Regions from separate parts of the Mus musculus genome. Here all the other regions are reported to be linked to region 2. The links are microRNA targets in miRTarBase. Many come from high-throughput screens and were not tested one by one. Region 2 holds a microRNA gene; each other region holds the end of a gene's coding sequence. Distances are from middle to middle.
What was found. The annotated mature microRNA mmu-miR-181d-5p reads AACAUUCAUUGUUGUCGGUGGGU and lies in region 2 at 4,115-4,137, opposite strand. An mRNA with a match to its seed (bases 2 to 7 or 8) in the 3' UTR can be bound and repressed. Matches are read on the target gene's strand: a 7mer-m8 pairs with bases 2 to 8, a 7mer-A1 pairs with bases 2 to 7 and ends in A, and an 8mer does both.

Region 1 (7,731 bases), 26 Mb from region 2:
GATCTACTAAGCTGGGTTTCCAGAACAAGGAGGGTTACCTTTTGAGAAGTGAGTCTAGAGCTCCCTTAGCTAGAGACAGGAAAGTGGCACCTTTATGTTCCCACAACCAGAGACTTGAATTGAGTGAGTGATGTTTTGCTTATATATCATGGGTAGGTGTCTGGAATGTATGCACTGGGCAAAACTTAGAGAAACCTGTTTTTTGACCCATCTGCTGGCTGTCTAACTTCTTACTTGCTGACATCTTTGACCTAACACTGCTGTTTGTTCTCAAGAGTCCCCTTTGTTCCTCTGTAGACATTCCAGCTGCAGCTTCTGTCTCCTAGCAGCAGCGTTGTCCCAGCCTTTAATACAGGGACCATCACACAAGTCATTAAAGTTCTGAATCCACAGAAGGTGAGTAGTACATTTGAAACAGGTCTGTAAACGATATAAGCTTATTACTTTATAAAATAAATCTTCATTTCAGTTTTATATGTTTCTGACTCAGAACTAGGAAAATGCCTGGTCTAACTTCCTTGTTCTTTTATAAAGATAAACCAAGCTCAGGGACATCAAAAAGATTAGTGACATTAAAATGCAACTAAAAATTCTCTATTGTGAGGGTTAAAGGTATAGTTTTGAGGATTTAGCAAAAGTTTAAATCAGAGGTAAAATCAAAAATCCGTATTTACTGCTGTAATTAGTATGATTATCAAAACTGGGAGCATTTTAAGTGAAGTAGTTAAATGAAAACAGTAGAAACCCATTTAGCAAGAGTTTCACATTATCTTCTCAATAAAATCAATTGGTCCTGCTTCATAACTAGCTGTGTGGTTTTCAGTGTTTGCTTTTCAGACTCTCTGGCTGTTTCCTTTTATATTACTTTGCCTTTTCTCAGTTCTTTTGTATCTTGATCATGTCATTAGTACAAACAAGCACACATTATTTTCATCATCTGATATCTGCATCAAAACTTTTTACAATGTTTTTATATTTGACATTTGTCACAGAAAGTATAATACTCTTAAAAAACCATTCTTGTTACCTGTGTACCCAGGTATTTCTTTTATGCTTTAGAAATACAAACATTGATGATATTTACTGTGGGTTTCGTAAACCAACCAGCAGGTGACCCATATGTAGAACTTGTGACAGTGTGTTTCCTCATTTTTCTAGAGACTTGGACAAAGTGTTAAATCGTTTGTTTCCCCACCCCACAACCCCACCATCGGAGACCTACTTGGTATTCTAGATGTGTGTGTTCTCTCCTATTGATGGCTTGATGCTGATCCTTAGGCTCCTAAGTGACAGATGCTTTAGCACTGGCTGTTTGTCTCTGTGCCGCTTGACACAGCCAGTCAAGCTGTTCCTTGGATGCACTCTATTTACCTTTAGGATTAAATACATTGTGGAGCCAGGCATGGCAGCACGTGCCCGGTAGTCCTCAGTACCTGGGAGCTTGAATCAGCATCACTTGAACTGAAGGGTTCGGGGCTAGCCTGGTCAACGTAGTGGAACCCTGTTTCCAAGAAGTAGTCCATTTGTAGACTGGAGAGACAGGGAGATTTCATTTCAGTGAATTAATTTATGGTTCTCTTTCCCTTTTATAGCAACAGCTGCGAATGCGGATCAAGCTCACATATAATCACAAGGGCTCGGCAATGCAAGATCTAGCAGAAGTGAACAATTTCCCCCCTCAGTCCTGGCAATGAGGATGCAGCACCATTCTCATTCTTATCCCACTCAATCAAAGGAATTCTGGGAAGGAGGTTGTGATTGCTGGCAAGTCCCCCCAACTGTACCATGGGCACGAGGAGCTGAGAGAACTGTTGAGGAGGGTTTTCCTCAAGTTACTGCTGACCTTGAAGCATCAGTAAAGACTAATGTCCTCTCCTCCGCTGTTGAGGCTGGCTGCTTCTCGAGGCTACTTTGCACTCTTCCTCCTCTCCTCCCTTTTCTGCACTTCACCCCTCCCACATTTGCAGCCAGAATCAACATTCTCTGGGCCACTGAGGCAATCAGCAGCTGGCCTGGAGGAGAGGACTGGGATTCACGGCAAGAAAACAAACACTCTGTCTCTACAGTCAAGAGTGGCCCCTACTTTCTACTGTTGCATCTCTGTGGACTGGGCAAGGTGGGGTGTTTATTCCTCACTAGCTGGTTTCCATCGTAAGTCTGGAATGGAATTGTAACAGTGGACACGAGGGAGCTCTGCCCTTTTCTGCTGGTTCTCCTGATGTTTGAAAGAGGTGTTAGGCTCCTGGAGCCTTATCTGTGCATTGCTGTATACACACAGACACACATGTATGTATGTTTGTTATATAAAAAAGCTGGTTAGACCTTGAGAGGTTGTTTGTAAACACTGGACAGATGCAGTTCAGAGAGCTTGGGTTGAGATTTGGCATGAAGGATATGGTGCTCTATTTGTAATAGAAACTTTCAAGGCTCTTCCAGCTCCCTTTCTCTTCGTTCTTTAGCTGTAGTCACGAGTTCTCGCTCCATGATTTTCAAGATCAATTCCCATTAAATTGCAAAGTGGATACTTTCTAAAAGACACATGAATAGTTATTAATGATCCTATTCCCCCACAATGATTCTCCCAAGCCTGTCACTTGCCTGTTTGAGCTGTGGTAAATGGGTCAAAAGAGGAGTTCAGTCTTAAGGAGCAGACTCTGTCACAAAACACCGTGGCCCATAGGAAGAGCAGACCCAGACTCACTCTGGAGTCAGCTTATCCGTTGCTCCAATCCTCCCTTTTAGTTTCCTGAGCCTGGCTTGGACCTTGGCATTCCGTTTGAATTCCTTCTTCTAACTGGAACATTTGTGTTGTATCTGTAACACTGGCACTGAAATAAAGACCACACGGTTAAAGAAATCGTTCCCACATTGTACTTTATGGTGTTGAAATGAAGCTTTGTAGCTTCCTTGCCCCCTATGTGAGAGCAAGTCTTACGGTCACCATAGGGTAGGAATGTCCTTTCCTGAGTATGAGAAATTGGTCTCTTAAGAAACCAATCTCATGAACATTCGAATTAAAGGTTTGAGCTTTTTAAACAGTAAGAGTGCCGAGTGTTTTTTAGAAAAGACCCCAATATTACCAAATCTTTATGTTGAATTGTTGGAATGAGGTGAAGGTGATTGTCTGTGGTACACGTTGAATGTACTATGTATGTTCAGGTATTCAGGCATCATGTCCAGTTTACTGCAGGAGAAAGTAAAAGTGGGCCCCCTTGCTTGTAAAGCGTTTGCAGTTGTTACTGTATTATGCAGTAAGACGACACTTTGGCTTCAGTTTTAACTCTTGATACAAATCTCCCTTTCTCCCTGCTCCATTTCACCACGCCTTTACTTAAATTCTTCAGTGTCTTGTCAAACCTAGCTCTGTATCAGATGCTAGACTATTCCTAACATTGACAAACTGGAGTTGAACTAAAGGCTCCAAAAGGGAAAGTTTCTGGTCTTAATAGTCCTGTAAGAGCAAGATTTACTGAAATTTACTTGACTGGGTAAATGGACATCTGAGTTACAAACAGGATATTTCTCCTGTGTTCAGCAAAACAGGTGTGGACAAGTGCAGACTTTAGACAGCCGCTCTGCCTGATCAGTGGGAGCCGTTAGGATTTCCTGCAGACGGATTTCATTGGATGCATAGTTAATGCTGTGAAACGTGATAGGATTAATGCTGTATTGGTGGATTTCTTGAATAGAATTTTGTCTTAACATTCCTTTTTTGTGTGGAGGCTTTATTTTCTCCATTTGTAGCTAACCAGCTCAGGTTTTTTGGTTGCTTTTTGTTGTTGTTGTTGTTGAACTGAGTTGAATCTGAAGAAATCTGCTCAAGACCAAGTGCTAGCCGATGGAGCTGGAAAGATCTCCTCTGTGGACAAAGCCTCAGCCCGGGTGATGAGTTTGGAGGTAGCATTTACAATCATCCATGGCTTTATCGAGAAGGAAAAAAAAAATCATGGCCTTAACACAAAGGGTGCTGTGTAGATATGGAGTTCATTTGGGAGACGACCTGAACACCATACTGACGGACTAGCAGCCAGATGCCTGCCTAGGATGCTGACGGTTGTGAAGACTGTCCCCTGTGATTGGATCTTTGAAAGCTTCAGCGTGCCTTCTTAGTTTCTAGGAGCATTAGTTCTCTTCTCACTCGGCCTTGCAGCTTAAAGGAGGAATCTCTTCGTTTCTGTGACTACGCGCGCACATTTCAGTCATTCCTTTCCCACACGTGACCCTTCAAGAGGAAACAGATTTGGATGTATATGACAACCTCGGAGCCTTTGTGAAGAGAGTGATTTCTGTGACTTTTGAATAAAGCCAAGGTGATAAGCAGTGAGCCCCACTTATTGACAGTTTTATACGCACTTGTACCTCATTAGCATCGCCTTCCTCGAGGAGTAGTTTTTATGTCATCCTTCTTTCCCATCCCAGAGTCACCCTAAGGGAGAGTTCCTCTAAGTAATCTCAGACAACTGTACACGCTTCTCCCACAATGCTTTGGTGCTGTTACCTTGAGATGGTTTAGGGAGTCATGGAGGTTTTCTGCTGTGTATGTTATCATCTGTTAAACTTCGAGGTGTTTTGGTTTTTTTTTTGGTTGTTGTTTTTTGGTTTTTTCATTTAAAGCAACATTCCTCAGTGTAACAGTACAGGTATTCCTTGCTTGGTTCCTGGTGTGGCTCTTAACCTTTGTTTGTTTCCCTCACATATGAAAACAGACTTTTAAAACTGTCCAGCACTAATAGTTTGAAATTTTCCATCTCCCATATGACACCTTGCTTTTCATTTCTGCGCCCTTTTAGAGAATGTTGGAAGTTAGGGAATACCGCTTTTGTGGTTCAACTTTATTTTCTTCTACATTGGAATATATTTCGGCCGTGAAAACTTGGGGAAGGAGGAGTTTGAATGTGTATTTTTCTTTTCCTACTGAATGTATTTTAACTACAGAGCCCTAAACTGAGAGAGAACAACAACAACAACAAAAAATGCATATTCACAAACTTTGTGGTTGGGAGGGCATTTGTCAGTCTGGGTGTGGGGGAAGGGAGAACTGCACAGGAAGTTCTGAAGTTTAAAATACTTCTGACCAGCTTTGGCTCGGGAGGGTGGGGCTGTTTGTGGAACTGAAAGTGAAAACCCTTTTCAAGCAATAGCAGAGAGTGGGTCCCATGGACAAGGTTCCAGTCCCAGAACCTGGAACTCTTAAACAGAAGAAAAAGCTGAAGCGGCTTGAAGCAGCTTGAGCAGTTGCTTCTTGCTCCTGGCTTCAAGACAGAGCATTGGAGACTTTCTCCCCTTAAAGACCTGCATTTGCGCTTTGTGTGTTTTGTTTTTATTTTATTTGGGGGACCTCATGGGAAAGGGCTTCTGCACTCCTTCCTTTGTGAACCCCACTGTGTTCTTGTATCATCGTCCTTCTCCTTTTACTATGTTGTAAGTTACGGTTTTCATTAGGCCCCATCACATCTTCTTTACTGTAAAATTATTAAAAGGCTGTTTCCAAGTGGGGCAGCTAATGAAGTTCTAATTATTGCAGACATATTTTTGAGATGTAAAACACTTTAAAGTGAAATGATAAGTCTCTTGGAGGCGAGTGAGGAATAACATGGATGTAAACATTTACATGGGATGCATTCGGATTCTGCTGTGTGTATTGTCTTTTGGTTGAAACAAATTATGAACAGTGACTAATAATAAAAAGTCAATACTCAATGATTTAAACTTTGCTGCCTTGCTTCTTGGATGTGAATCAGAAGCCCAAGATGAATTCTTATTCCAAAGCTTTGAGCTACACCGAGCCTTTTAATGTTCCTTTGAGCAGAAATCTCACCTAGAGAAGAAACATTTAAAAACCTTGTAGATGTTTTACACAGAGAAAAGTCCAAAGAGCAAGTGGACATTTAACTGGAATGCAGTTACTGTCAGGTTTGTTTTCTCCACATAGGCGAATCCTCAAAGCTCTGAAGCCACTATGATGAACTATGTAGCAAGGGTACCCATGTTTTATTATAAGTTAGGGTTCGTGTTTTGTTTGATTGATTGCTTGGTTGATTTTGGTGAGTTGTTTTGGTGACTTGATAGAGAAAGGCCTAACTAGCCCAAATGAATGACATTCCATGGCTTATTTTGCATAACACGTGAATTCCTTTTTTACTTGGGAGGCAGGTGAAAGGGCAGCCTCTGTTGCTGTAAAGGTGTTGTTCCTCAGGAGCCATTCTGCTTGTTATTTGAAATAGTCACTAGGACCTGGGGTTCACCCATTAGACAAAGCTGGGTGGCTATTGTCTCCACATCCCCAGGGCTGTGATTACATTAGACCTGCTTTGGGGAGTTCAGGTCCTCATGCTGGCATGGCAAATTATCTTCACAAACTTGATAACAGTTTTTTGCTGAAGGTTGAAAGCTCTTGGTTTTCTCTTGACTCTCACAATCCCTAACATTCCCTTAATTGAGAATGAAGAAGATATGACAGTTTCCAGGTTGAAGAGGGGGAGGGTGTGGGCCTGGGTAGGTTATCTCCTTTATGCAGCAGTGCCCTTTGGCACTGTTTGATAACATTTCTATAAACTTGTTTTCTACTTGGAGTAGTTAAAATACATCGTTTCTGTATTTAAGTTTAACTGATGGAAATCTAAATATAATTAGGTGAAACTATAAAAGCCACAGTAAACAGACAGTAGATGTTTACTTAACAGTACGATGGGTTGTGCATAGGTTTAAATGTCATTCCAGAACTACAAGATTAATTTTAATCACATGAATGGCTTATTATTCTGTGATCTCCTCCAGTTCAGCTGTCTTTATATGTGGGGGGAAGAACTGTTCAGTGGTTGGAGGTGCAGCTTAGTTCTTGCCTAGCTTATATGAAGCCCCAGGCACACGTTAAAAGGAGAAACAGAAAAAAAATTCCTTCAAATTTTGAAATCAGGTAAACATTGGAACCAGAGGACACAACGCCTAGACCTGCTTATCCTGTGGTAGCATAACATTGGGGTTGGGCCTAACGAAGACTTTGTGATCACTGAAAGATTGGGAGCTAGGTATCAGTAAATAGATCTGAACTTCCAGGCTCCTCTACATAGTCTGACCTTAGCGCTCTTTCTCGACGGTGTTCTGGAGAGGTAGTGGGCGTGTGGAGCCCAATAGGAAGGAGAGGAGGGATGCTAATGCCTCTTTGCCTTAGTATGATGGGTAGTGAGGAGCCTGCAGTGATGGCAGATGGTTTTGTGTATACACACACACACCCCACACACATACATAAATCCCAGAGGAATTTATTTTTAGGGTTAGTCTCAGCTGTTCACCATTTCCAGAAATGATGGTTACATAACACTTGGCATACATGTTGCCTTGACCTGGGGGAGAGCACCAATTGTGACCTTTGTGACAGTGTGCTATGTTAATGGCAGTCCATAATCTGAAAAGGAGACATCAGCTGATTATTGCTGATTAACTGGATCTGAAGTAGTGGGGACCTTTAAAGGTAGCTGCTTAGAAAAAACTGATTCTCTGAGACCTTCCGAGCCAGTGCTCTTGGGCTATTTTTTTTTTTTTTTTTAATAAGTGGTGTTGCCAGTTTGAAGTAGTAAATCTTAGCTTCTAGCATATGGATTCATTTTAAATTGATGGTGTAGGCTACTATCCAGATAAGGAAAAAGATAACCATCTATAAAACATTGCTGTTCCCTAGAATGAACTCATTGCTGGACTTGGGACACCAAAGTGATTAAGTCACATGCGATC
Region 2 (7,731 bases):
CACAGCCAACAACCAACCATGGCCAGGGAGCCAGCTGACTCTCTGAGTCACCTTCAGTGGTGCACCCACAAACTTTGGGGGTCCTCCTATGGCGTCACAGAACTGAGGCCCGCAGAGCCTTTAGGCATGCAAGCACCTGCCATCCTGTATTTTGCTGGGTGATATAGACCTGAGCTACAAAATGAAGTGTTGTCTCAAAATATAGTAAAAGATGAAAACAAAACAGAATTGACAGGTAAAAATAACACTAGCACTGCCACAGAGGACCCTCGCTGGGTTCCCAGCACCCATATGGCCACTCAGAGCCAGCAGTAACTTGTTCCGGAGTTCACATACCATCTTCTAGACTGTTCACATATACATACATAAATGCACACAGGCAAAACATCTACACACATGAAATAAAGTTATCTACATCTCTTAAGGACTGGTGATGTGGCATAGTGGATATGAAGGAGCTTGTAGCCAAGCCAGACCATAGAACAAAAAGACAAAAACAAAAAACTAATTCAGACCCACCAAGCAAAATTTTTGATAAGGTCCTACTGCAGTCTCCCCATTCTGCCTCCCCAACTGGCTTCTTCCCTGCTGGCTGGGAGCTGGGCCTTGAGGCCCATGGCAGTTACCTTCCTGAGGCTCTGGAATCCCTTGTCCTGGTCTGATGCTTCTGCTAGAATTCTGATGAATCCTTGCCCTATCTCTGTGTCCTATGTCCCATGCCCCCTGCACTCCTCCACCCCCATTTGTGTGTGTGGAGGTCAGAGGACAACCTGAAGTCAAAGTTGGGTCTTCAGGGTTAGAGGCAGACTGTTTACTCACTGAGTCAGCCTGCTAGCAACCCAAACTTATTTTTTATGGTACTGACAGAGAAGCAAATTCTTGGTCTCGTAAACGCTATACACTAACTACAAACTTCCAAAAGTTAGATCCAATGATTTCTAACCACCCTACAGCACAGACCCATACCCAGTCACACTTCTCACCCCTCACCCCCCAAACTGAAGGAATTATGACTGCTAGAAGTCCCCGTCTCTGGGACCCCTCATCTGAACCAAGTGTCCCCTACTTAGCACTGTCTTAACAGCCACTCCTGCCTACCTTCTTCACTGCAGACCCCGCACCCAGTGGCAAACAGACATGAAATGTCACTTGGCAAATGAATAAATGATTTCCAGGTTCAGAAAGGATTATAAGCTTCCCTTTGTAAGTTTCACAACTCCTGACCCCCCAGGTAGAATCAGAGATCACCACATACCCCACAATATCTCTACTACCCTGTGCAATAAAGGAACTAAATATACCCTGCTTCATGCTCTCAGCTATACACTGTGGATTCCTTAGTTTCTAAGATACTGGCATCAAATACATTTAAACACCCCAAAAAACTGAAAGCCTTCTCCACCCAACCCCTAAACCACCTGCATAGACACCTGCTGCTGCTTCTCCTCCAAGGCGGTGGCCAGCATCCTGTGTCTTTGCCTTGTCAGGCCGGGTCAGCTTTTTGCCTGCAGAATTCCGGGTGGTGTAGCAGTAGACAGAAGTGTAGCCCTGGCTGGTGAGTGGGCAAAAGCGTCGAGTGTGGGCATGCTCCTGAGTGGCCCCACACTGGGGACACACATAATCCCGCAAAATGGGACACAGCACCCGCCCTGCCTCATCCTTCAGGACATGGGACTGATAGATGGCACGGGACTCGCCATTGTGTTTGCAGAATGAACATAAGCGTTCAGGAGCTGCAGAGGATTCCTTGCTGGCTTGCTGGCTTTCTGAACTTGGCTTGGGCTCTGGTTTGGGATCCAGCCTTACATCAAGCTCCTCTTCCTTATGCAGAGCCCCAACCAGTCTTGCCAGACCTAGGTAATCTGTCCAAAGATTGAAAGTCCCCATGGCTGGGCAGAGGAGCAGAGAAGAAACCCAACCTGGCTCCAACTTCCTTACTACCCTGAAGCTCAGGCTTCTTTGGCTACTTTCCTTTTACTTAGAGGGGGTGTAAAAGGGTGGAGCAGGCAGGCTGGGGGGGTCCCTCATTGTCACTGGGGGGCTTCCTATACACCTGCGCAGGGGGTATATGGTGTTTGTGTGGGCTGAAAGTAGCCAGATGCAGACTGAAGCTACTGACCGCCCTAGGCTTCCCCCGGGTCTCCTCCCCCTTCCTGTGGGAGGTTAACCCCTGTGAGGAGGGAGTTGGATGGCTAAGAATTCTGCCCCAGGGTTTAACACTAACAGATTTACTAATTTTTTTCTTCTCTCTCCCCTAAGGCAGGGGGTGGGAGGTGGGGGGTATCATGTGGCCTTGAGTTTCTTTCTCTCTTTCTTTCTTTCTTTCTTTCTTTCTTTCTTTCTTTCTTTCTTTCTTTCTTTCTTTCTTTCTTTCTTTCTTTCTTTCTTTCTCTCTTTCTTCCTGTATTTTTGGGGTTTTTTTGTTTTGTTTTTTTGAGACAGGGTTTCTCTGTGTAGCCCTGGCTGTCCTGGAACTCACTCTGTAGACCAGGCTGGCCTTGAACTCAGAAATTCGCCTGCCTCTGCCTCCCAAGTACTGGGATTAAAGGCGTGCAAGAAACAAGAAACAAGAGTTTCTTGTTAGGTGGGGTAATGCAGAAATCCCAATTCCTAGGAAGGAGGCCTGAGTGTGGAAGTGGGGCTGGGGGTAGGAAAATGACAACTGGGTCTCAAAGCTCTGGTTTCACTAACAGACTTTCATGTCCTGGAGAACTTAGTCTTGAGGTGTGAATTAAAGTAAAGAAAGAAGAAAAGAGAAAAAGAGTGTAAGTACGATAGAGAAGAAGAGAGAAGAAAACAGAAGAGAAGAAGAAAACAAAATGTCTGAATTATATAGGGAAGAGCCTCTGGGGGGGCGGGGGAGGGCAGTCCAGCTCCTGGGCTAGAAAGTTCAAGGTTGGGGGCAGAGTATGCCAGGTAGGGACTGAGGAATGCTGGGAGAACCTGGAGGCCAGGTCTGCTTTGATGTGTAAAATACGCACCTCAGTCCTGCAGTCTAAACCAAACAAAGAATGCTCCTAGTGGGTAGAGAAGTGGTTTGTTTTTGTAGATAAAAGGGACAATTACAGGCAGGGGCAGGGGCAAGGACACCTAGGAGTCTCCAGAGTGGACATGACCAGCAGACTAAGCCAGGCATGAAGGAAAGGGGAACAAGAAAAAGAAGACAAGCCGGGCGTGGTGGCGTACCCCTTTAATCCCAGCACTCGGGAGGCTGAGGCAGGCGGATTTCTGAGTTCGAGGCCAGCCTGGTCTACAAAGTGAGTTCCAGGACAGCCAGGGCTACACAGAAAAACCCTGCCTTAAAAAACCAAAAAAAGAAAAGAAAAAGAAGACAAAAGAAAAAAGGAGCATCTAACCAAAAAGGTTGGCCTATATATGAACCAGAGAAGCTGCAGGAAGGGAAAGCCCAGCCTAGTTCCTTGGCTAGAGAAGTTCAGGGTAAAGGACAAGATATGTCAACAAGGAGGACCCTGTTAAAGGAACTGAGGGATGCTGCGAGAACATGGCAGCCTGCGGCTTCAACTTTGATAAAGGAATAGGCACCTCAGCCATTTGTCCTGGGTTTAAGACCTTACCAAGTTGAGTTCCCAACTCTTCCCCCTCCAGTTAGCTAAGCAGCCTCAAGGTTACCCCAACCTAGGAATGCAGCAGGAGGGGAAAGAGCCTTCAAGCACAGGAAGACAAACTGCACTGGCATACCCCAGCAGGTGCCAGCCCCCTTATCTGACACCTGTCAAAGGAGCCTGCAGCCTGAGCTCAAAAAGAAACAGGAGTCACCACTGCTAGGACAGACTTCATTCCCGCTCATCCATCCACCTGCCCATGTATCTGTCACATGTTCATCTACCAGTTTGCCCACTGCAGAGCATCACTGAGCAAACATCATCCCCCCAGAGTCTCCCAATTTAGGATCTCCCCAACACCTAACCCTCCAGGGTTTATTTCCCAATTCCAATCAGCCCATCAAGATCCCAGACACCAGTCCCATTTCCCCAAGGGGAGTAAGTGACAAGCAAAATCTGAAGGGTTCTATCCTCTTTCCCATCCCTGATGGTGTTGTTTGGCCCAGCCACAGTGACATTCATCCCCCGGTGGGTCTGGCTGCCTCCTCACAACCCACCGACAACAATGAATGTTAATTGTGACCTTTGCTGTGGCCTGAGGCAGGGGATGCTGCCTGGGGCTCTCCCGGGTCTACAGGGTGGGGATGGGGTAGACGGGTGGCAGTTCCAGGCCTCGGGGTCCACTCAACGGTCGATGGTTTGTCTGAGCTGCCCAAACTCACCGACAGGTTGAATGTTCCCCCAAACCCTTGGCAAGTTCTTGGATAACTGGAGTTGGGAGAGTAGGCCAGCAAGGCAGAGAGCATGTGGGACGAGAGAGAAACCAGGGTCCCCTTTGACTCACAAAATCAGCCATCAGTTATTCTTTTTTGGAGACTCAGAAGAAGCAGCACAAATACAAACCATAATGTAAAAAACGCAGCCCCTGCAACAGAGATGATAATGTGCCTGTCTCAATTCATGTGCTATATATATTCAAGGGATGCATTCACAACTGATATCTCAGCACTCTGGAGTCTGAGGGTTGGGATGGCCTTAGTAAGGTTACAGGCTAACCTGACCTAAAGAGTGAATTCCTGATGAGGGCTAAGTACTGTGATAAATAAAATCCTCCAAAGCATTTCTGAGAGATACAAATTCCCCTCACTGGTCAGTTGGAAAGACTGAGGCCAAAATACAAAGTGGGGATTTTCTAGCCACCATTCTGGGAACTCGGGTAGGTCATCAGGTTCTGGTCTGGGCCTGGGCTAGGCATAGGGCAACTGAGCCGTAAACAAGTTACTTTTATACAATGTAACAGGGCTTCTCCAGCAAACTTGAGATAAATAAGGCTTTCAATATATTGTAAACTTTTCCACCTTCCCATGGTCACTAAACTTAGTTTGACGGTTTCTGAGACCACCACTGCCCTACCCAGTAGAGCAGTGAGCTGTGAAAGAAGGCTATACACAGACACACCCCACCCCCACCCAAAGGCTTCTAAATGGTCGGGAGGGGGAGTGCGGGGGGGGGGGGGGAGGCTTCCCTTTTGCTTTAACTGAGCTCAGAACACCTCAGAGAGGGAGAGGTGACCCTCAAGGATCTCCTGAAGTCACACAAGACAGATCAAGAACACTAAATGTAGTAGTATGCTTGTGTGAAACTCCTGCAGGGTTAGCACCGGCCTGTGCAGTACCAGGCCACCACTGCAGACTTGCCCTCCAATTCAGGCCTTTGACAGGGTTCCCTATGGCCCTCCTACAAACCATCCCTTTTAGATCTAACGCCAAACTCAATCACCTGAGAGCTTAGGTCCTACCCCCTGCCTAGCACCTCAGTGTGGTTCCAGGGCACCCCTAGAAGTTCCCTAGAAGTTCAGCTCCTTTTAAGGGCCACCCCTACCTACAGACCCAAACCTGGCCCCTGGCTCCAGCAAGACTTAGGAAGCACTATCTCCCGGTAGAGCCCTAACCCTGCTTCCTCAGCCCAGGGCCCGGTAACTGGTCACATTCCCAGCCCCAGGGGCCCTCTCTTTCTGGCCATGGATTAAGAGGTCCTGCATGGGAAAGGCAGGTCTCCTGCTTTGGTAGCTCTCAGCCCTGAGGAAATAAAGGTCTAGACTGGTCAGATGAAGATGAGCTGGTCACAGGCGCTTTGCACAGACCACCACTGTGCCCCTGGGGAAGGGCCTGCTGCCAGTTCAGAACAGTTTTAGGGGGTTCCTGAAAGCTAAAATGGAGGATTATGAGGCACACGGGACACTCTGGGCAATGCGGGCCATCTTGCAGACACCCCTCTTTTATTCTGTAAGTCCACTTTGCTTACTTCCCCTGCAGAACTCTGATTTTTGTCCTTTACATAATGGGAGGTGTATGTTAGGGGTATTCACGGCAGGACAGCCTGCCTGTGGGAGTTTGGCGGGGGGCGTGGCATGGCGGAGGCGCCAGGCCCCACCCCCTCCTGTCTCTTTGTCTGCAGGCGTGGTGCGGGCTTCCCGCCCTCAGTGTCTGTCTGCGCTTGCCTGCCCTTTGTCAGCGGGGGTCGACTGTCTGGGTCTGCCTGCACCCTCCCTATGTGTCTGTCCTTCTTCTTCCCGGGGCTGCTCCTTGAGGTTTTTGGCAGCCAAGCCCCCTGGTGTGTGAGGATCAGAGTCTTGACCTGAATTCCTGCAGCTAGGGGCTGATCATTTACTTCCCGCCATGTGTTGGTCGGCCTAGAGTGCTTGGGCGGGAGGTCTGACTTTGAAGTCCCTTAGTGTAAGGGTGGGAAACTGTCTCCTTCCATCCCCCAACCCCAGGTCCAGAAGCAGGGGCACTGCAGCGCAGAAGTCAGCTTGGGAATGACCTAGGTGGAGCCTGCCCCAGTCTCTCTGAGCAGCTGGCAAGTCCTAGAGGTCAGGTTGAGGTGAAATGCCAATCCCAGCCAGATGGGGGTAGCTCTACCATCAAGTAAAAGATGGGTTAGCTGTCTGCTATATTGTGCCCTGTGGTCTGCAGTGTTCAGTGTGCAATACCTGTGTGTAAATCAGCTGGGCAGAAGGGAAGAGTAGGTAGGGCCTGGAAAACAGTCCATTATTGGGGGGATAGTGACAGGACAGGTGGGAATCTCCATAGGGTCACATTGGTGGCCCAGGTTGTCTAGACCTTATTATTATTATTAATTATTATTATTGCCATACTTACACGACTTCTGAGATACCCACCCTTCCCTCCTAATCTCAGGAGCTTCTCAGATACTCGGGTCTTTCAGGGGGCTGGGGAGTGGGGGGGGGGGAGCTCAGACAGGAGCTCCTATGTACTATAAGTAGGCCAAAAGCCCCAAATTTCCAGGCTGTCTGGATGTGAGGCCAGGCCTGCAGATGAGTGAGAGGGGTCTGGCTTCTCCTGGGTCAGGGGCTATGATCAAGGAAGTGATGGGAACTCCAGCTACTCCTCTGAACTTCTTTAACAAGGAGCAGAGCGGTCCTGGGTATGCATCACGGTGGGCTGTCTGCACAAACTCATTTGTCTGCTATATACACCTGTTAATGGATTGGAGTAGAGGTCTGCTCTAGACTACTCTGCTGCTAAAGGGAGCTCAGGGGGAGGGGAGGGGACTCTGGGGGGGGTGTACCATAGTTGGTGGCACCACTAGTGTATTAGTGTATATATGCCAATCCTATGGGCTTGTTTATGTGTGATGTCAACACTGTAGGTGGATGGGTGTGTCAAGCTCATTGTGTCCAATTGTGGTCTATGTGTGCACAGATGTATGTATGGATGCGGGGTTTGTCAAGAGTAACTGGGTGACTATAATCTGTCAGCTGATAAGGATGGTGTCTTTCAGGGCCAGTCTCCCACTCAAATACCAACTCTGTTAAGGCAGGGAATTCACTGTGAGTCATAGGTGTGTCCCATAATAACTGCTCAATAAGTGTTGCTGGACACAGTGGCTGTAGAGCCTATCACCTCTGTACCTGGCAGATGCAGGCCAATCTTAAAAAAAAAAAAAAAAAAAAAAAGGCTGGGCATGGTGTTGAATGACTTTAATAATCCCAGCACTCAAGAGGCTGAGGCAGACAGATCTCTCAATTTGAGACCAGCCTGATCTATACATAAAGTTTCAGTCCAGGCAGGGCTCTACATCCCAAGACTCTGTTTCAGTAAAAACAACAAAATATTGCATTTTTGACTCTACCTCTGAGTGTCCT
Region 3 (7,731 bases), not on the chromosome of region 2:
AATAATAGAGATGTATATAAGATTACACATACACACTACATACGTGCATACTTATCTATTAGTACTATATGCATATACACAAAAGCATACATTTATACATTGCTTACAGTTTTGCTTAGGTGTAAGAAAAATGATTTTCTGCTCAGTAGCCTGGGTGACTGTATGTTTGCTTTGTTTTTAGACTCTTCCTTGTTGTTCTAGTTAGGTTCCTCTATTGCTGTGATAGACACCCAAGCCCTGGAAGAAAGGGTCGGTCAGTCCATCATTGAGGGGCGTGGGGCAGGAGCTCAAGGCAAGAGGTTGGAGGCAGGAGCTGAGGCAGAGGCCACCGAGGAGTGCTGCTTACTGCCTTGCTTCCCATGACTTGCTCAACTTGCTTTTTTTATACAACCCAAGTTCACTTGAGCAAAGGTGGCACTGTCCACATCAATCAAGAAGTGCCCTGGGCACACAGGCCAAACTCATTGTGTATGAAATTATTAAAGTATGGGTTTATTTCCTTCAGTTATTTAGTTATACTAATTCTCTAAGTGCTATGCAATAGAGTGAAAATTAAAAGGTAATGTTAGACCATTCTGTCGTTTCTTAGTATGTTTGTATGTTTATCTTTGGCTTGTCTTATTTAGCAGTTTTGACATTTAGATATCCCTGAAATCTTATGTCTTTTTCTCTTTTCAGACTCTTTAGAAGAACAAGATGTTCTTGATAATAGTACTGAGCAGAGAGATGACAAAATACCAGTTACAGAGCAGACAAGCCAAGTGATTGAAAAAACATCTGGTCCAGAGGAGCCAGCAGAGAACCAAGAAGAGACTGAGAACGAGGAAACCTCAACAAACGAAGCCAAGTCACCTGTTCTCAGAGCTGATTCTGTTCCTAATCTTGAACCAAGTGAAGAATCTTTGGTGACAAAGTAGTAAATACTTCCATGTGCCTTCAACTGGATATTTGTAGTCTTGTTGATGTTAGTTACTGCTTTTTTTTTTTTTTTTGTGGTACTCAAGAAAAATTTGCCTTCTAGATATACGCTTAATATTATTCATATTCAGATTGCCCAGCAAGTTCAGTGTATCCAAGTACTACCACTAGGTATTGACAGTAAAAGCACGTGGTATCAGTTAATATGCAGAGGCATAGCTGTGCATTCTAAAGTTAAAAAAATGTTTTTTACATGTATAACTTGTAAATAATACCCACTTTGACATAGGAACAAATTTGGCTAGGAATAATTTCTTCCATAGTATTTAAGGGTTGAAACATAATTAAGATTTTGAATACTTCATCATTAAATTTTAACTTTGGAGATATTTGCCAGTGGGAAGGAAATATCTGTTTAGGTGTTTACACCAAGTAATGCTGAAAGCTGTAACCTTAATTACATACGCATTGGTACGAATTCTCAGTAAGAATGCAACTAAACAGTCAAGTGCAGTATTTCTCTTGATGTCTTTTATTTTACAACTGGGCCAAAGGCACATAATGTATATAGTTAATGTTTACATAGTAATAGGAAATACATCTGCACTTGACTGTACTTGAATTCTTGGTATTATTTATATTTGTAATATAATGATGATATATAAATGGTTTTTGTGTGTGTGTGTGTGTTTTGTTAAGGAAAATAAAGATGACCTGGCAGCGTTTTTCTTTGTTAAATATCTAGACTTCCTCACATAGTATGTTGATGGATGACTTGGCTATCTGAAAAATACCTTGGTAGGGAAAACTCACTGTATGAAAACTATATAGCAAATTATGATGTTTTTCTTTTCATTTAGACTTTCAAAATCAGTGACATAAGAGGTTTAGTGTTTCTAATCAGAAGTTAAATTTTTTCTGATTTTGAAACATATTATGGCATAGGTAGTTTTTAACTTTGAGAGACAAATAAATGCATTTTTAAAGATAAGACAGTTAAATTTAATGAAACTCACTAGACTGAGTATGTATACCAAGTATCAGGTGGGAAGATTTTTGATGTAGACTAGTTATTCTTAAACACAATATGATTATTTGTTCTAGTTTCCTTTTATGTGTCTTATGTTGAAACAACTGAAGTGAATTTACATCATAGGGGAGACATGTTACGATAGTGTTTCTGGCTAATCCTTTAGCTATCAAATGTTTAAATATACTTATTATCATTTAAAAGTTTATATTTATGAGTAATACCTCATCTGACATATATAAAAGAACCCAGTTTGTTAATATTCTGAGGCATTTTAGTGTAGTGCCTGTAATTGAAGCATGTGGAACTGGACTTGAATGTCAGCTTTGCAATCGTGGGCATTTCACCTAACCTCTCTGCATTTATTTAAGCTGTAAAATGAAAAGAATAATATGTTTTCCATAGGTACTGGGAAGTTAAAAATAAGTTATATGATGTGCCTAGCTTTCTTGCTAGATAATTAATTAATAGGTATTAGGTTACATGGTAGAATTTATTGGTATTATTGAAACCCTTGTGAAATATGGAAGGACCGTAGATCCTTTCTTTGGTAGATAATGAAATTAAAGAAAACTATGAGCATTCAATTTATTTGTTCTGAACAGAAATTTTCTGCATTAATGTCATATGCACGTGTCAATGATAGATTAAAGAAATGGAGAACTGAAACTAGAATATAATCTTTTTATAAAAAGATGTGTTTATTTTTATTTTATGAGTATAAATGTTTGACTTGCATAAATGTCTGTGTCCAACATGTCTTGACAGGTATCTGTAGAGGTCAGATACCTGGGTCATTTGAAATGATAGTTACAGATGGCTGTGAGCTGCCACGTGGGTGCTAGGGATCAAACTTGGCTTAGTCACTACGCCATTTTTCCAGCTTCATATAACCTTTTTTTGTTTGTAAATTTTACAAGGGGTGTGTGTGTGTGTGTTTGTGTGTGTGTTAGTAGCACCATATTAAGTCTTGTTAAAACATCTGATATGCACTGCTCAAAAATGAGTACCTCAGAGAAATGGGATTTAATGAAGAAACCAAGAAGATATTATAAAAACATCCCCCAAAAGGAATATAAAGGGGGAGCTAGAGAGGTGTCTCAGTGTTAAGAATGGGAACTGCTCTTACAGAATGCCAGAGTGTGCTTTTCAGCTCCCAGCTTGGGTGGCTTGCTCCCTCCTGTAGCTCTAGATCCAGCAGAATTGATGGCTTCTCCCTGGCCTCCTAGGACACTAGCCTAATGTGTACTCTCTTCCCCACAGATACACATAGTTAAAAATAAAAATCCAAATCTTAAAAGGAGCTTAGTAAAATTAACACAACAGGTGGGTAATTGTTGGTGTATTTTAAAACAAAATATTATTCTGATATAGTAGACAATGTCTGAAGTGAATGAGACTCCACATTTCTGATTATTAAGATTAGTGTAAATGAGGGAGAACTTCCCTGTTCACAAATGCTCAGCATGTCATTGTTTAATGTCCCTCTCACTGTGTCCTCAGTGTGGCCTGAAGACAGGGCTTAGCTTCTCTCTCTGTCTTTCCTACCCACACCTTTCTACTGTAGCTATAGGACTCTCGCTCAGTTCTGTGGCTATGCTTTGCCTTTTCTGCCTCAATGTCAGCTTCATTTTTCTCTGACAGAGAGAGCCTCCTCTTCTCTCTGTCTGAAGCTAACCCTTTTAGTCCTGTATCAGGTCACTTTGTCTTTGCTCTGAATTCTTACTGCAGGGTATCTTGTTTTCCCTCAACTGTCTTCACAATTTGCTTTTCTTCTGTCTGTATGTGGAGTGCCTGCTCATTTTTCATGTGGATAACGTACCAGATCCAGGGACTGCTCAGTGCTTAACTCATGCGCTTGCTTGGCAGATTGACTTGGCTGAGTGTTCTTTTTCTGAGACACCTTTATCCTTTAGGTTCTGCATGTGCACTGCTGTTACCTTCCCTGGCTTCTTGTTTTCAGCATCCTTTGAAGACTTCCTCTGCCATCTTTAAATGTTGATGCTCTCTGGCTTCCAGCTATTGTCAGTTCTTATTCTGTGCATTCATTCTCAAGCCCAGGGACTTAATAGTTACTGTCTGTCTATGAATGTCAGAGCTTAGTGTGGTCTGTTTCTTTGCCTTCGTAGCTATGTATTTACGCACCTACTGCCATGGCATAGTGAAGTCAGTATTTCTTTAAAAAACAAAACAAAACAAAAAACAAAAACCCCTACTTATTCAAACTTGTGTGTCATTTCACCAAATACCATCAGTATTAAAACCAGAATTTAAAATATATTCCCTCTTTCCCTCTGACTTTAAAGTATTCATTCCCAGTTTCTTCCCCCACATCCCCAGTAGAATATTGCAATATAGCCCAGCCTGGCTTGGCTTTGTGACTTGAGGCCTCAGATTCCTAGGTGCTGGAATCATTCTATGAGTTGCTGTGCCTTGCTCTCCTCTAAACATTTTACACTTATATTATTTTTCTATTTCTTTTGAATTATATTAATGATAAATCTGCATTGTTCCACCAAACAAATGCTACCTGCTGTATGTATGTGTGCTTACACACAATTTTGTTTTTGGGGGGAACAGTCCTGTGGAGATTTTGTATCTTGAGTATGGGAAAGAAACAGGATGTAGAAAGACTAAGCAGCCTTCCTAGAGGTCTCTATTGGTGTGTGGAAACGTCTGAGATCTGACTGTAAGCAGATCACTTGTGATGCCGTTGGCATTGAAGCCACAGCCTCATACATGCTAAGCCCTGCTCTGAGCTGAACTGTTTCTTCCACTCCCAAGGCCTTACTGTTAATCATCATTGTATTACCTTCTAATTCCTGCCTCTGTCACCTCACGGGATGAAAGCTACCTTTTAAACTCTGTCTGCGATCATGCTGCTTTCCTATCCATTCTGTGCAGTGGGTCCTCAGACCTTTGTGGCTGTCTTCAGTCTTTCTGTGTTTGAGAGAGGACATCTGAATTACTGTATTGACTGATAAAGTCCGGAGCAGTTGTCTTTCCAGTTGGCTCTCACAGCAACTTTTTTGCATTACAACTACTGTCGCTGCTCCCTCCCCTCCACTGCTTACGTCCTTTCAGTATACATAGGTTATTGTTTTCAGTGCTGCATATATGCAAAGTTTCTCCTAGTTGCCTACATTTCTCAAGCTCTTCCTCCTGAAATACCTCGTTTATGTAATAAATAGCTTATGTAATCAATAAATATATAGCTGCTGAATTGGAGTAGCACCGCTTGGAACCCAAGGTTGGAAATGTTATTATTTATTATAAACTATGAGTTTTTCACCATGTACTCATTGTACATATACATCTTCACAGTAGAATCAAGTCTGTAACTGAATGTGTTACGTGTGTGTGTGTGTGTGTGTGTGTGTGTGTGTGTGTAGGGAGAGAGAGGTAGATGGGTGGGGGGAGGAGAGATTGCTTTTAATTATGTAATGATTGTCATTAAGATAATATATGCTGAGTTCCAGAATGTTAAATGATTGTCAGTTTTAGGTCAGGGATACTTGGCATCTGAGCCAAGTCAGATTTAATGAAGGACTATTTATATTGTACCATGAATTTTCACTGTTTCAATATTAATACGTTCATGATTTCGTTAACAGGTTAATTTCTAACTGACAGTACCTACCTTAATTACCTACCATATACCATGTTAGCTTTTTGTATGTGTCACTTAAGGGTAGACTGAGGAGAACAGCTGTTTTGAGTGGTTGTGGGCAATGGAACTTCTCTAGGAAGTTAGCAGAAAAAATGTTTCTATGTGGTATAAAAATTGTAGATGACATTAGATACAGTTCCAAGTAATGATGAATCAGTGTAGAAATGGTTATGAATTAAAACCATTTATAATTTGACTTATTTCAAGTTTATTAAATTTCTAAGTGTTTTAGTACTATTGGCCATCAGATAAAAATATTCTGAAGTTAGACAAACAATTATAAATATGGAAAAATTGTGTCTTTGAAACAATGAAAACTAAAATGAGTGCAGAATTAAAACCTTATTGAATTGCATCAGTCTTTAGGCAATTAATTTGTCTCAGCTTATTTAAACTAATTGTCATTTTCTACTTTTTTTCAAACTACTACCTTTAACCTTCTTTAGGGCCCAAGAGACGGCCCAGCAGGTAAAGGTACCTGCTGCCAGGTCTAATGAGCTAAGTTTGATTGCTGAGAGCCACACAGTGGAAGATGAGAACCAACTCCCTCACGTTGTCTTCTGACCTTTGTGTGCCTGCTGTGGCACATTTGTGCTCCCCCCACCCCCCCCACACACACAAATGAAATCAATGTAAAAATAAAATGCTGTTTAATATTGGTGAAGTGGAGCTGAGAAAATTGTGTAAGCAGGAGGGCCTGAGTTTGTGTCTGCAGCACCTGCGTAAACGCATGGCATGGTTGGTTGCCTGCTGCTGTCACCCCATTACTAAGGGGTGGTGACAGGTGGATTCTAGAGCATGCTGGCCATCCCTGCCTTTTTCCCTTGGCATCAAAACTGATAAATGTTGGAAGTATTCTGAGAAGATTAAAAAGTGTTCTTAAAAACTTCCCTCAGTCCAGAATTCTGTGAAAAGAGGCCAAGTTTTTAGCTACTTGAGGCTTTTACCAGATCCCTGCCATTTGCTTTAGGAAAACTGAGAAATTTTATTTTCATGGAAATAAATTTCTTAGTCTGCTTTGCCCGGTGTTGCAGGCAGGATTGGTGCACACAATGCCGCTTGTTGGTCAGGCTTGTACTCTAGGTACAATCACACTATTAGAGTTCTTCCAGTGACTTCAGGGAGACAAGTGCCACATGTAGATGGAATTCATTTCCTAAAGCTGGTTTATAGAGCTGCAAATAGGATTTAAACATGGTGACTATGATTGCTTTCTTTACTATCTGTGTGCTCTCCTTTGCTAGCTTATGGAGTTAGGCTAAAGCCCTTCAGTTTCTCATGGTTGGATGGTATCTCACATGTCATTTGTATGGGAGAACCCTGGTTGCTTATTAGGTCTGCTTCTCAGTTCTCATGGAATATTGAACACAGACTATGTTTCTTAGTTATATCCTTCTTGATCTCAAACCAAAGTAAACCAGTACTTGGCACAGACATATTACATAAATAATCAGAAAGCTGGATTCCAGTTACTTAGTGGTGGACTTGCCTTTGCTAACTAACACACGAGGTTGGTGTGCTGTTTCTGTGTGAAGCTCCTATGAATGATGGATTTGGGACTAGAGAGGGAACAGTAATTGAGGGCTAGAATATATTGTTTTTGTTCTCTTGGTGCCTGAAACAGGGGAGCCTCAATAATATGAGTGAACTAAGCTGGAGATGACCTAAACACACGTGATGAGGTGGGAGAGTCGGCAGTGCTCAGAAGAGCCTGATACTTGGGTTGGGTTTAAGAATTTTGTGTAAGATCATTTGAGTTCAACAATCCTTTTCCTGCTTCTTATGAGATATGTAAAGATATCAGTCTAAGAGTATACATAGTACACTACACACACACACACACACACACACACACACACAGAGTTTCACTATGTATTCCTTGCTGACCTTGGATTGCTGTGTAGACCACGCTGGCCTTAAACTCACAGAGATCAGCCTGCCTCAGAGTACTGGCTCTGTACTGATTTTCACTTACCTGCCTCTAACCCATCTGATGCTATGACTGATGCTTAGAGCTTACTTACATTTCTACTTTTTGACATCTGCGTCTAGTGGGGCCTAGATACACACACACACTTTTATGCAAGATAATCTAAGACTATTTCCTTTTTCA
Region 4 (7,731 bases), not on the chromosome of region 2:
GTAAAGTCACTGTTACAATGAACTTAGTCCGGCTTAGACTTAGCCTTGGCGTTACTGTTCAGTTTAACTTTAACGCTCAATGCCTTTTCATCAGAGATAGAACCTTATAGGTTTTAACACACACAAAGATGATATCCCTATTAAACCAGAAATGATTGATATGAAGCTGACTGGTGAAATATAAAGTACACACTAATATTATTTTTCTTCAGTCAAAATTTTAAAAATATTCAGTACAGTTTGACCTAAAAGTTAGAGATCAAAGCATTATGATGCTCTTGTTCCTGTCTGTTTATATAATTCTTCAATTTGTTCTTGATTCAGTATCCTGATGCCACAGATGAGGACCTCACCTCTCACATGAAGAGCGGTGAGTCTAAGGAGTCCCTCGATGTCATCCCTGTTGCCCAGCTTCTGAGCATGCCCTCTGATCAGGACAACAACGGAAAGGGCAGCCATGAGTCAAGTCAGCTGGATGAACCAAGTCTGGAAACACACAGACTTGAGCATTCCAAAGAGAGCCAGGAGAGTGCCGATCAGTCGGATGTGATCGATAGTCAAGCAAGTTCCAAAGCCAGCCTGGAACATCAGAGCCACAAGTTTCACAGCCACAAGGACAAGCTAGTCCTAGACCCTAAGAGTAAGGAAGATGATAGGTATCTGAAATTCCGAATTTCTCATGAATTAGAGAGTTCATCTTCTGAGGTCAACTAAAGAAGAGGCAAAAACACAGTTCCTTACTTTGCATTTAGTAAAAACAAGAAAAAGTGTTAGTGAGGGTTAAGCAGGAATACTAACTGCTCATTTCTCAGTTCAGTGGATATATGTATGTAGAGAAAGAGAGGTAATATTTTGGGCTCTTAGCTTAGTCTGTTGTTTCATGCAAACACCGTTGTAACCAAAAGCTTCTGCACTTTGCTTCTGTTCTTCCTGTACAAGAAATGCAAACGGCCACTGCATTTTAATGATTGTTATTCTTTTATGAATAAAATGTATGTAGAAACAAGCAAATTTACTGAAACAAGCAGAATTAAAAGAGAAACTGTAACAGTCTATATCACTATACCCTTTTAGTTTTATAATTAGCATATATTTTGTTGTGATTATTTTTTTTGTTGGTGTGAATAAATCTTGTAACGAATGTAAGGAGTCTGGTGGTGTCAATTATTCTTTATTAGTTTCTCAAAATTATTTTGTAATGTCTAAAATATAACCATTTCAATGGACATGCCCAGTTTAATTAAAGCCATTTAGGGTTTTAATGGTCAGAGGAACACAGATTACCCGGGAGTTGACAGCAGCCAGAACCTACAAGGCTCCCTCAGGAAATATTCTCACCTAAGTATGACATATACTAATTAATATATGAGCGAGCAAAAGCTTGAAACTTGAATGGAATTAGAAGTTGATTGTTTATGTTTTCTATCATCTTTGCTCAGTAAATGTGTGGCTTTCTTGCCCTAATAGAACCTTGTGTCTGTCTTCTAGCTATTCTAGTAATTCTTAGGTAAGAATGTGTGCGTGCTTCTGTGTGTGTGTGTGTGTGTGTGTGTGTGTGTGTGTGTGTGTGTGTGGTGTGTGTGTTTCAATTGAAAACCAACGTTCTCAGTTTCATCCAAATATGAACTTTCAGAAATATTGTAGTGCCACATGTGACTTTAGTCTTTAGAACTAGATTTCCCTTTTAGAAATCATGGAAACAATCTAAATATCCTTCAACTGACAAATGAATAATGAAAATATGGCACAAATATACAGTATATAGGATGCTGTTCAGCTTTAAAGGAAAAGTTAAATCATGAGATTTGCAAGTAGGTGAATGAGACTAGAAAAGAAAGTATTGAGGGGTGATCCAGACCAAGAGAAATGAATGTTATGGGTGCCTATCTGTGGCTCCTAGCTTCAAGGCTTCAGATGTAAATGCATAGTCTGGAGTCACTGCAGAAACCAGGAAAGTAAAGAGGGAAATGGAATGTTGGGGAGTAATAGGGACATGGATGCCAGGCTACAGTGATTAGGGAGGGGCTGAGATAAATCCAGAAGGAAGTAGGTATAATACCAGTGAGGATGTCTGCAAAGGTTATAAAGAATCCTATTACTATCTACCTTCATAAAATTATATGTAATGCACACACACACACAGACATACACACAAACACACACATACAAATATACACACATGACACATACAGACACACATATGCACACAAACATACACATGTACACATACAGACACACACCTGGAGGGAGGGAGAGAGAGAGAGAGAGAGAGAGAGAGAGAGAGAGAGAGAGAAAGAGAGAGAGAGAGGAGAGAGAGTTAGATTAAGTGAAAATTTCCCATCTGGGCTGACGATGCTCTCCGTGAGAGCTACAGACTATCAAATCCTCAAGCCTAAGCGCAAGAAACTTCCTTTGAGTTATTGGTCTGGATGGTCCAAGGGACACCCCCCACACACCCAACAAAACAAACAAACAAACAAAAACATTATAGGTTATTGCTGTGGCCCTTGGTTTCCTTCCAACGGTTGAAGATAAAAAAGTCCCTATTTTGGAGGACACCATGCACTTCAGACATAGGACCCAGACAGTTGGGCTGGATCTAACCTGAAAACCTCCTCCCTAAGGACTGGCTCTTAAGCCAGAAGGTACCATGCAAGCTTCCAAGGGACAGAAGCAATGTCATGCAAAGCCATGATGGCCTGTTGCCACGGACCAGGTTCAGTCGGCCCCCCTCAATCCATGGGAATCAGGGGCTCTGGCAGGTGGACGTGGAGTTGGCAAGAACTGACAGACACAGACACGAGAGAGTGTGCTGGATATGAATGTATTTTGTCCAAACGAACACCAGACTTTTAATACAGAAGAAAAACAAGAAATTTAGGCAAACACATCCGCCAAGTTTACACTGACACAAAACAAAAAGAATGCATACATCAAAAGATGGTGGGAGCCAGGCCACATTTACCACTTAAAAAGATCAGCTGAACACTGGAGCCAGGTGAATGGCCTGATGCAACCCTAGTCTATTGTTAAACCCACCACCAGGAGTTCTTTAGTAAATACCTGATTATGCTAGTCCTCTGGGCCCAGTGAAGAAACCTGCACCAGGGAAATTCCCTTCTACTCTTTCAAGCGACAACCCACCTATTTCCTAGGCCATTGTGTATATCTGTGTTTGGGTGTGACTCAGCTATTGTCCTAAGTAATTGCTATGCAGACTAGCCCTGAGCTTTCCTAGCTCTGTTCCAGTAAATAGTAATGCCTAATTAGTTTCACTGTCTCTACTAGAAGTGAATTTGAATGTTACTGAATAGATAACTTTCTTACTGAATTCCAAGCTCAGAGTTGGCTTCAAGGATTTTCTAGGACATTGGAACACTGATAGAGGCTTAGCTATGTCAAAAATCAATCCTTAAAGGTACTTATAATAATAATACTGAAAGAGAGCACACGGATCCAAACACCAGACTAACGCAGGGACAGGTTTTGAGTATATGGGCTATGAGAATGCCAAGGTTCCAGGAGGCTGTTTCCATGAAACCCATTGCCTCATGACTACTTTCAGGCTTTAGGCCTACCAAGTAGACTGCACTGGAGTAGTCGTAGCAGCCTGTGAACTAAAATAACAACCAGTGTGGCACAATATCACTAAGGGTGAACTAGTAGTGAGCATATGTTGACAGTAACAAATAGCTCTCTACTTAGACCGAAGGCCTACTCACACAGAAGTAAATCCTGCTCAATACTAGAAACTTAACCAGTTAAACAGGACTAGTGAAGTCATGGATCTTGAGGGGTAACCTACACCTGCTACTTTACTAAACCAACACAATCCCTAAGAACATTCTAACTATGTGTTCTTAAACCCACAGATAATTACAAATCTAACTTCCCATCAAAGAAACATCTTCCTGGGTACAGATGAAGACCACTATAAAAAAACCACAACTTACAAAAATGCAAAACAATGCCTGTGACTGTGTGGTACCCAGTCTCAGCTGATACATCTATAATGCAATTCTTGTACCTAAGGCTCAGGGATCATGGAGGAATGACCCGTCCAGCAGGTCCAGTTATTCGAGGATCTCGAGGGGACCTCCTCCTAATAACCAAATGGGGGGTAGAGAGAGACGAGGGTCTTGTACGAATAACGACACGGAAACCGTTCTGAAGCTGTATCAAGACCCCGATGTATTGAGAAAGGTCCAAGGCTTAAATGCACAAGCAAAAGGGGAAGTACAGATAAATTATCAGTGGGATGGGTAGGGCAATACAAGCAAAAGGAGAGGTATTTATCAGTGGGAGGGGTAGGGCAATACAAGCAAAAGGAGAAGTACTTATGGGAAGGGGGGGCAATAGAAATTCTTTCTTTTGACAGCTACACAGGGAAGCAGGAATTTGGTAGTGTCAGGGTGTGGTCAGGAGAGCAGTGATGACCCAGGGCTGGAACATCCCATAGTTCTCGGAATCCATGAGTCGGTGGCCCGCTTTTGACCCCTTTTTTCTTCTGGGGGGGGGAGGCCCAATTTAGAGATCGAGAGTTGTCTTAATAGCTCCCAACAGAGGAAGAGAGGAGAGAAAGATTGCAATAACTGGAGCACCAGGAAATCTGCTGTAAGAAGGTGTCGTCAGGGAAGCTGTACCCATGAACTCTCATCAGCATGGTTGCCTAAACAAGCCCTGAACACTGGCAACACCCTCAGACAGACACGATAACACGGGAGGGGGAATCTCATGGCCCCTAAATGCTAACCAAAGAACTACATGTAACTAAGGAACACAGAAAGCAGGAGAGATCATCGTCCCCAGAGAAGAGCCCTTGAGTCATTCAATATTAGGTGGTTAGCCTTGAAACCATACATACAATTAACATTATAGCAACTGAGGAGGCTGTATTTATATATTTAGGAATACACACACAGAGAGAGAGAGAGAGAGAGAGAGAGAGAGAGAGAGAGAGAGATAACACTCATTTATAACAACAAGCCATGAGTTGGAGAAGAAGGGAGGGAGGAAGAGAGAGCGAGAGAGCAAGAGAGAGAGAGGGGCAGGGACAAAGAAAGAGACAGAGAGGTAGCATAGGAAAGGTTTAGGGGAAGGAAGGAAGGAAAGAAAGAAAGAGAGAGAGAGAGAGAGAGAGAGAGAGAGAGAGAGAAAGAAAGAAAGAAAGAAAGAAAGAAAGAAAGAAAGAAAGAAAGAAAGAAAGGAGGGAAAAATGATAAAATGATATGATTGAACAGAGAGGTGGCATTTCTTTGTATGGGACTTATAAATCCCAAAATATGTTGATTTCCTCCGAGTAATATAAAATAGAATATTATTTCAATAAAAAACAAAACTAGGGACCTGGGTTCGGTTCCCAGAACCGAGACCACTGAGGCGACTCACAATGTTTCATGACTCAACCTCTCTTGGCTTCTGAAAGCACTGCGCATGCATGGTACACATAAACACATGCAAGCACACATACATAGACACACACACAAAAAATAAATCCTATAAATAAATAAAACTAAATGTTTCCCCTAGGACTATGAAGGCTAATTTTTGTTGATGTGGAAAATAACACATAAAAATATAATGAAAAATTCTAGAAGGAAGCAACAGAAGTAAGGAAGAATTTGCCTTCCTTATCTCCTCCTCTAATGCACACAGACACACACACACATACATACACACTCTCTAAAAGCATTGTAGTACTGGTACCTAAACATCCATGAAACAAAATATTAAGGTCAGACATAGCCCAGACTCATGTGGAGATTACTGTACGGTAGAGATGGTGTGGAATGCCACTTAGGGTATAAGACTACAACCCCTTATCACTGTGACATCCATGGTTAACTGAAGCGACTCATAACTTCTTGGTGTATTCACTTCTCTTGCCATCACAGCCAACCCCTAACAATCACAAGTTAATTGTGTCATCCCCACGTACCATAGAATGCAAGCAGCCTGTTTCCTGTCAGCACATGCTGAAATTCAAGGGCATCATCAACTTAACCCCACAATCAGAACTTTGAATTCTGGTACAATTAAAGACCATTCTGTTTCTCCATTATACAGGGCTTATGCAGGGGGTAGAAATCACACAACCCATTTGTACAGGGAGACTGTTATACCAAAAATTAATTACCAGAAAGAAGGTGTTAATAAAAGACAGAACTTAGTCTTAATGATAGCCATAGGAATGGGAATACCCATATAAGGAACAATTTGCAAAGAAGGTTCTCTTCCCTAAAAGTCTTCATTAGAAAGGTTGTAGCTGCAGCCCAGCAGATGAGCAGAAAAGTTTACTCAGGGTTTTTTCTGGACTGGTTGGCAGCTGGTGGGCTGAAGCTAACAGTCTGCTGGCAGAAGGGCTTCAGCACACTGAGGCTGGCAGGGTGTCTGGGGGTGGGTGCTCCAGTGCGCACTGCTGGATGCCGTATCTAAGAGGCAACCAGTCTTGCTTTAAGAACAAGGACACCAGGGACAGACAGAGCTAGTTAGTTCTGCAGTGTCCCTCCAGTGCCCTCTACTGACAAAGTGTCATTGTGCCAGTTGGCAGAGCAAGTGTGTTGCAGGATCCAGCTCCAGGATCACCGACCAAAGGGTGATGGATTTAGAAAAGGAATGCTAAGCTGATAGCTGGACAAAATCACTGGGAAAAGGCTAATTTGTGTGTGTGTGTGTGTGTGTGTGTGTGTGTGTGTGTGTGCGCACGAGAGAGAGAGCACATTTTATTTTATTTTTAGAAGGTTTTTTTTGATATTTTCTTTATTTACATTTCAAGTGTTTTCCCCTTTCTAGGTCTCCCCTTCAGAAGCCCCCTATCCCACCCTCACCCCCCACCTCTATGAGGATGCTCCCCCACCCACCCACCCACTCTTGTCTCTTTGCCCTACTGTTCCTCTACATGGGGCATCAAACACTCTCAGGCCCAAGGGCCTCTCCTTCCACTGACATCCAACAAGGCCATCCTCTGCCACATATGTGGTCAGTGGCATGGGACCCTCCACGTGTACTTTTTGGTTGGTGGTCCAGTCCCCAGGAGTTCTGGGTGGGGGGTCTGGCCTGTTGATACTGTTGCTCCCTCCATGGGACTGCAAACCCCCTCATCTCCTTCAGTCCCTTCTCCAATTCCTCCACTGGGGAACCCACCCCCACCCCCAACCCCACCCCCCACTCAATTGTCGTACCTTTGAAAAACAGGGGCTTTCCATGGGCATGTTTTGTTGTGTGAAGCCCAGAGGGAAAGGGCTTCTTTCAAATATATTCATTTTCATACAGTTTTTATGGTTTTTTGTTTTTGTTTTGTTCTGTTCTGTTTTGCTTTTTCTGTTCTGTTTTTGTTTGTTTGTTTGTCTGTCTGTCTACCCTTTTGCCACAATACTAAAACACACTGAGAATAAAAGAAGATAAACACTTCCTAACAGGTAAACTCAACTAACAAAATGTGAAGAAAGAATGACACAGTTAGAAAGCCATTTCAGAGCTGGAGAGGTGGCTCAGTGGTTAAGAGCACTGGCTGCTCTTCCAAAGGTCCTTAGTTCAAATCCCAGCAGCCACATGGTGGCTCACAGCCATCTGCAATGGGATCTCATGCCTCTTCTATGTGTCAAAGACAGCTACAGTATACTGACATACATAAAATAAAATATTTTGGAAAAAAAAAAAGAGAAAGAAAGCCATTTCCTAAATCACAACAGAAAAATGGACTCCAGGAATGACCACTGCTGAGTGCTAGGC

Region 1: miRTarBase lists Ap1g1 as a target of mmu-miR-181d-5p. Seed matches in the 3' UTR shown: 8mer at 3,138-3,145, 7mer-m8 at 4,891-4,897 and 8mer at 4,916-4,923.
Region 3: the mRNA of Lnpk is a reported target of mmu-miR-181d-5p. Seed matches in the 3' UTR shown: 7mer-m8 at 2,263-2,269, 7mer-m8 at 4,035-4,041 and 7mer-m8 at 5,291-5,297.
Region 4: the mRNA of Spp1 is a reported target of mmu-miR-181d-5p. Seed matches in the 3' UTR shown: 7mer-A1 at 1,139-1,145.

Annotation. Positions count from the first base shown.
Region 1 is chr8:109,858,502-109,866,232 of GRCm38, forward strand. It overlaps Ap1g1 (adaptor protein complex AP-1, gamma 1 subunit), which reads left to right. Exons shown (of 24, transcript NM_009677.6): 23 at 298-396; 24 at 1,593-5,709. The coding sequence ends at 1,694. It overlaps Gm17344 (a long non-coding RNA gene), which reads right to left. Exons shown (of 4, transcript XR_003947453.1): 2 at 1,372-1,530. Among named protein-coding and RNA genes, the nearest start is that of Gm17344, 6.2 kb to the right of the region's middle.
Region 2 is chr8:84,174,645-84,182,375 of GRCm38, forward strand. Mir181d (microRNA 181d) reads right to left here and starts at 4,143; the gene lies at 4,072-4,143. It overlaps Nanos3 (nanos C2HC-type zinc finger 3), which reads right to left and starts at 1,908. Exons shown (of 2, transcript NM_001357361.1): 1 at 1,431-1,908. The coding sequence starts at 1,887. Mir181c (microRNA 181c) reads right to left here and starts at 4,317; the gene lies at 4,229-4,317.
Region 3 is chr2:74,515,245-74,522,975 of GRCm38, reverse strand. It overlaps Lnpk (lunapark, ER junction formation factor), which reads left to right. Exons shown (of 13, transcript NM_027133.3): 13 at 679-7,731. The coding sequence ends at 917. Among named protein-coding and RNA genes, the nearest start is that of Lnpk, 60 kb to the left of the region's middle.
Region 4 is chr5:104,439,905-104,447,635 of GRCm38, forward strand. It overlaps Spp1 (secreted phosphoprotein 1), which reads left to right. Exons shown (of 7, transcript NM_009263.3): 7 at 325-1,149. The coding sequence ends at 714. Among named protein-coding and RNA genes, the nearest start is that of Spp1, 8.7 kb to the left of the region's middle.